2 linked regions of the Bombyx mori genome follow. The protein of the gene in region 2 purifies or fractionates together with the protein of the main gene of each other region. This does not show direct contact. Links are inferred from orthologs where the notes say so. Each region holds a gene or a part of one and is shown on either strand. Other genes may lie near its edges.

Region 1 (2,684 bases), about 4.5 Mb from region 2:
CTTATGTGTTGTTTAATTTTACATAAAATTTGTGTCCAAGTGGCTTGAAACTAAAATTAAATCTCTCTAAGCAACTTGTAAGCTACTTACTAGAAAATACACATAGAGAGGTTGGCTTTCAGATCTTTTTGAGCTGATATAATAATATGTGAAACTAATATCTATACTAATATATCAATCTAGTGGTTTTTACGGATGTTCCGTTATAACTACTGAGCCATGCCGATTGACTTGAAACTTAGTATCCATGTAGAAAATACATGTACTTATATTTATATGAGTGTTGGACTCCCTAATAATAATGACAATAAATAATAATGTTAATTTTAAATCCCAAGCGAAGCGGGCGAGTACGGCTAGTATTATATAAAACCGACAAGATGCTGTATCTTACATACTAAATAAAGATGAATAGATAACATACCCCATCGAGCACATCACCAGCGACTGCATACACTTTGTCATTCCATTCACCCTTATATAGGGTTATTTCGTCAATGCCGAACACATCGTCTGAAAACACAATTTAAAAGTAGTTAAATTATAGTACTTAGTTTCCGTTGAAGTTGAGTTGATTAACTGCAATTACATTAGCCTACTAGCCTCTGAGAACTACTATGACCAAAGCTTACAGCATGGCCGGATCTGAACAAATCTTACGACTTAACATATCTTTTGCGTGAAGTGGAAATTTTCAATCATTTTTGCCCCTATAGAACTATAAAAATTATAATCTGGTATTTTGTATGTGATACCAAATAATTTATATTTGCAAAAAGCTCTGATCTTTTTTGTCTATAATGTGTTGATTCAATGCTAACAATGTCAATAATTGAATTATTTTTGCTTACATAGACTATTTTAATATATTTTCATTTTATTTTCAATAATCAAATTTACAGACAACTACTGTTAGATAAAGGCCTCCTGAAGGTCCAAAACAACCCCCAAAAAATCAAACCCGCAAAATTATAATTTGCATTATTACTGGTGGTAGGACCTCTTGTGAATCATCACGGGTAGGTACCACTACCCTGCCTATTTCTGCCGTGAAGCAGTAATGCGTTTCGGTTTGAATATATACTTGAGACCTTAGAACTTATATCTCAAGGTGGGTGACGCATTTACGTTGTAGATGTCTATGGGCTCCAGTAACCACTTAACACCACGTGGGCTGTGATATCGTCCACCCATCAAAGCAATAAAAAAAAAACATCGACATCATGCTGCTCAGATCTACTGGATTCTTGCTACCTTCACACCTTTAGTACTTCATCTAATACAACAGCAATTTTGATACCCCTATACACAGATCAAAAGTGAATAATGATGACACCTTGATATTTAAGATTGAGGTTATATATTAATTGTATTATGGCAGAAACAAAAAGGGAAAAAAGGAAAGGGGAGGGTGAGTCTTGACACATTCTTGCACTATCACCAAATTCTAAACTGAAATAAACTTTTTTCTTTGTAAATTGTATATCGACACTTGAAAGGCAAATGTGACTAAGCGACAGTGCGTGAACTTTACAGTAGACTAATTTAAAGTTGAAATATTTGAAAACAAAATTTATTTTAATGAATCTAGCTGTAGTAGAATCTAGCTAGTAGCTGTAGGATTGGAATGCTTTTAATAGACCTAGAAATATTTTTTTTTGTGCATTGAATATGGTTATTACCTATCATTTATGTACAAAGCAGTTATTGTCGCTTAGTCACGTTTGTCTTTCAAGCGTCGATATGGTAAACAGACTATTTTGACTTCTTAGTACTCAATCTTTAGACCCATTTGATTAATCAGAATCAAGAAATAATTAAGTTTATGTATACTCACTATATTCATCAGCAGAAGCTGCAGGTGGATCTTGAAGATAGGAGCAGGTGAAACCAAGGGTGGTGTCTCCTCGGACTAGGTCAACCTCAAACTGAGGTTTGGAACGCATCTCAGAGAACTCTTGCTTCTCAGTCTGAACATCACCCTCAAAGTCATCAGAGTCCACAGTGTGATTAACGTTGAATGTGACACGAATTCTGAAAAAAATATATAGTTAGACTTAAAATTTCACTATTTTTAATGATATTTCTGTGGGCTTGTTTCTTTAGTTTTTCGAATTTCAACAAATTGACGAAGATTGCTGGGCAGTAAAATAAGTATTTGGCAACATTTATTAACAACTGTTTCCCCAAAAAAAAATTATTCAATATTTCTCCTTCTCAAGATTTCATTACTTACGTTTCATCTTTAAGCTGCTTTGTTAAAACAACTTCAGCACCGTCTCCCTTTACAGTAAAGCCTTCGACTTCAGCAGGGAGAGACTTGACCTTCTGTGCTTTGCGTTCAGCAACTATTTCTTCTGTCAGGAACTCTACCAGTTCTCTTTCACCTGAATTTATATAAATTGGTTTTATTATGTACATTGAGAATGAAAATAAGTGCAATTTATTCTACAATACTGTAAAACATTCAATAAGTAGGTAATGAATTTTAATCAACAAACAACAAGTTTATAATACACAAACAAGGTATTTTTTTAATTTCTCTCATTTCACTACTATTTTATTAACTACAACAACTACATTAGATTTACATTACTCTTGATTATAATGATGAATAGTAATAACTGCAGATCAACAGAGAAAATCCAACTATACTATTCAACACTATATTTCATTGTGCCTGT
Region 2 (4,185 bases):
ATCACCCCCGACCTGTGTGGCAGGGAGCTTCTGTCCAAGCAGTGGGGTTTGCCCGAGGCCCGTTCCGTGCCCCTGTAAGGGGGTACGACAACTCCTTTTATAAATGAACTTTGATGTTGCCGTAGCTTTAAATATGACTGTTGATGTGCTGAAATTGAGTGTAATGACCATGAAAATTTTTTGAAAAAGTATTTCTCATTGTTTTTGACAGACTTCCACATTGAACGAATAACATCACCAGTAGCTACGTATAATTTTTAACCTACACAGGTAGTGATGTTTGGAGGTGGAGCAGTGATACGCTTAAGATCTAGGCAGTTTCCAAATCGGCAGATGCCGAATGCAGATGCATTCACTGTAATACAGTTGAATTACGATAACCTCCTTAAAAATGTTTACACTTGTGTACACAACTACAGACTAAAAAGAAATCTATACAAGAAAATTTCAAATCTGGGTTTATTTATCCAATTTAATACATGTACTAGAATTATAATTTCTTTATAATTCGTAGTCTTTTATTAGTATAACCTATACTTTTACAATTAATCTAGAACATTGAGAACACAAAGCTTATTCATTCATATTTTAAGATAAAACTGAGTGTCTATGCACATTCTCATTAGTTATTCACTTGATTTCTTTCACATATGCATCAAGCTCTGCATCTAATTGTTCTGCAGTAGGTACTGGTCGTTTGCCTCTGCCTGCACCACCACGTCCTCTTCTGTTTCCCCCACGTGCTCCACTATTGCTTTGATTTCTAATTCCTCCACCTCCTTCAAAAATAAAATAATTAATGGATTTCTAGTAATTTGTAACTTGCAAACAGTAAAGTGAAAATGTACAACAAGAACTAGTGGGAAAATATCAGTTTTAAAAAAAGTAATTAATTTTAATAATGTTTTTTTAAATGAAGGATTTAGGGCCGGAGGCCTTTCCAGTTACACCACGAATGCTTAGCCAGAAGAGAAGGGTTTGCTAACAGTTGAACACCTCCGAAAGAGGTCTAACACAATTCATGGGCAGCTGCTTTGCAAATGAATCTACTACCAGATCAGTAGTCTGTCTATGGATTAGGTTGCACATCAAACTCTTTAGAGTTCAATGAGTATGGTTAGTGTTAAAGCAGGTGTCTAATGCAAGAGTTATTGGATCTGATGGATCCGTAATTATGTGTCTAGGACATCAACAGTTAGTCTCTGCTGTGGGTAGAAATAGTCAGCGGCAGCAACAATATGGCGATTATCATGACCAATGGCCTTATTGAAGTATCTTTCCGACAATAACTAGGTGTTTCCAGATTGATTCGACTAAGAGGCCATCTTGTATATGGTGATTTGTCACAAATCACAATGATGTAATTTGTTATCACTCCTCCCATACAAACAAATCCTGGAAAATATCTTACCTCTTTTAGGATTGTTTCGTATAGTACCTCCCACACTCGCACCACCAATTCGATTTCTAGCCTCGGGCCTTAAAGTATTGATTTCAGATGTTGCCAATTGTATATTCATTGCCCGTCCATCAAGTGGCACTCCGTTATACTGTTTCATAGCCTTCACAGCATCTGCTTTTCTTTCAAACACAACATCTGCAGTACCTAAAAAAATTTAAAAATATCTTGTATGATGAAATACTTAATGGAACAAACTAAGTTTTTATGCTTTGTGATACATACCTAAAGATCTACCTGACCGATCATAATGTACAGATGCACTTTTGAGGATGCCAAATTCCGAAAATAGTTCCTTTATATCTGAATCTGATACTCCAAAGTCCAAATTGGATACAAGCAGCTTGGTAGGACCAGTTGTTATGGTCCCACTGTTTCTTTGAAGTTTCCTCTCACCAAAATCATTGAACATATCATGTTTCCAAGTGCTGTTCACATCACCCTGAAAAGGTCATCCTTCATAGAGCTAGCCATGTGGCTACTCTCTATGCCTCCTTTGAATATAATAAAAACTCAAAGCTTAGGCACTAAAATTAATACATTGACATCTGAACCACTTGATAAAATAACATTTGATGTAGTTTACATGTTTTTTTTCGAAAATTAAAATATAGAACTGTTTTATCACTTTCATCACACAGACACAAGACTAATAAGTTATGAAGCACAACCAGTCTCAGCCGTCCATGGAGTCCATTTATTTACTTTTCAACTCCTGAAGTCAATTCTATAAATTGGTCAAAACTGCACTGTAGACATCTCCACAAAAGTAACGTTTTGCTCGAATTCATTACACTTTTATATCAGCATCCATCATAGAATTTTCCGGCAGATGTAGGTAAACAATGCAAAACAAAAACGTTGATGGAGATAACAATATGGTTGCTGGGATTATGGTTTCAAGTTGAAAATAGGTCGGATACGAATAAAATAAGGGTCTTGATTTGAATCAAAGTGTCAAATTTCGTCTAAAACTATTTCAACAAGATGGTCCATATGGTTGCTTGACTTTTTGAGAACAAATTAGATACATTGATGCGTCACATTTGCCCGCCATTTGTAATTTTAGAATCATCTAATTATTGGAATTACCCTCGAATAGTTGGTAGATTTCGTTATGCCTCCACGATTTCTACCTCGTTGTACACCACCAGAGCGGTTGCTACGAAATCCAGCACCGCCTCCACGTCCTGTTCTTTTGTTTGCATCAAATTTTCTTCCAGCACCACCTCCAATCCTTGTCTTTTTGTTGGCTTTTATAATATCATCCAGTGCCATTTCAATTTGATCAACCATGGTGATTATTTGAAATTCTAAATATTTTTTCTATGAAAATTAAGTCAAAAACAAAAACAATCCTTTTAGAACTCTTCCTTCCCAAGTAGACGGTGACAAAATGGCCGAAGAAAAGATTCGTTATTGCCAGATTGCTAATATTAGTTCAACAGTAGATTGAAAAAAATTGTTGAGCTTTAAATTTGGTAGAAATTATAGTCAATAAAGACTATCTTACACATCTGTCTTAGTTTATTTTATTTTACATTTACCAGTTGATTTGGTCAAATCTTTCTGTTTAAAAAATTAAGCGCTTAGTTTTAATCTTTAACTAGGTAATCAAATCACGTAATGCTAATGCACTCAAAATTCAAATATTAAGAAGTGTATTATTTATGGTTCGAGATTTTTGGCGCGAGGAGTGAAGTTGTGTGTTTTGTTTTATTTTGTCTATTTAGTGTTTCTCCAAGTTTAAATGTGTAATAACGGTGGTTTATAACCTGTTTAATATCTGTGAAAGTGCACAAATGTGGGAAAATTGAAACAAAGCCGCTGAGCATAACTTTTTGGGATCCTCTAAAAAGTCCACTGAAAAAGTCTCAGTAAATGACTACCATTTTACTGAGATTATATTTCATCCCATATCATCTCATCTCATTTCATTTCATTCCATTTCATTTTCATTTCATTTCATTTCATGTTATGTTTCATATTAATCAACTTCATTTCATTTCATAAATCATTTTACATATAAAAAATATATAAAAGATTACGCTTTATGGTATGATACCTTTGCCTTTCCAATAATATATTAAGTGTATAATCTATGAATAAAACTGCTACTACTATCTATGGTTCGAATTTTGAATTTTATAGTTTCCTCAAGCTTGTAAACCAATCCACAATTTAAATAAATCGTTTTTATTAAAGTATCTGTACTTACATACTAGAAGCGATTTAAAAATACTGTTATAAAAACAATATGACTGTTGGGGAAACAGGCCAAAATTTGCCATGGTATGAACTATCATTAACAATGATTTAAACAAAAAAATCATAACTCAATATATTTTACTACGACGATTAACACTTTGTTTTTACGCAGGGTTGAAAAATATCGCCCAAAAAGATTGGATGATTTAGTATCTCATGATGATATAATAAAAACAAGTAAGTATAAATTTCTGAAACTAATGATCACATTATTTTAAAGAGACTATCAAATTTAAGGCTATAAAAATTGGACTTGAATCAGGTTGATATTAAGTTGCTAACCGTAATACGAATACCTTATAACAGTTAATGCATAAACCCCCTCTTCGTACCAGTATGTTTTGTACATTGTAACATAAAGTAAAGGATTTTTCTTTTTGTTCTTCTAGAGTACTTTGTTTACATCTTAATTGAGGCAGCAGCCTTCCAACCACTACATCCCTATTTTTGTGAGATTA

What was found. Proteins that work in one complex are often made in the same cells at the same time.
Region 1: the proteins of ALY (region 2) and mitochondrial matrix protein p33 purify together in Homo sapiens (affinity purification with mass spectrometry; 3 studies listed by BioGRID and IntAct, with this or other methods). This does not show direct contact. The link is inferred for Bombyx mori from reciprocal best matches to the Homo sapiens genes ALYREF and C1QBP.

What each region holds. Positions count from the first base shown.
Region 1 is NC_085114.1:15,032,494-15,035,177, forward strand, and holds part of mitochondrial matrix protein p33, read right to left. Parts: intron 2,388-2,684; coding exon 2,237-2,387; intron 2,035-2,236; coding exon 1,838-2,034; intron 514-1,837; coding exon 425-513; intron 1-424.
Region 2 is NC_085114.1:10,512,161-10,516,345, forward strand, and holds ALY, read right to left. Parts: upstream 2,813-4,185; 5' UTR 2,756-2,812; coding exon 2,552-2,755; intron 1,902-2,551; coding exon 1,685-1,901; intron 1,607-1,684; coding exon 1,412-1,606; intron 780-1,411; coding exon 631-779; 3' UTR 527-630; downstream 1-526. Other genes in the region: replication factor C (activator 1) 5, read left to right, coding at 3,717-3,751, 3,840-3,904. UniProt on the Homo sapiens protein: Functions as an mRNA export adapter; component of the transcription/export (TREX) complex which is thought to couple mRNA transcription, processing and nuclear export, and specifically associates with spliced mRNA and not with unspliced pre-mRNA.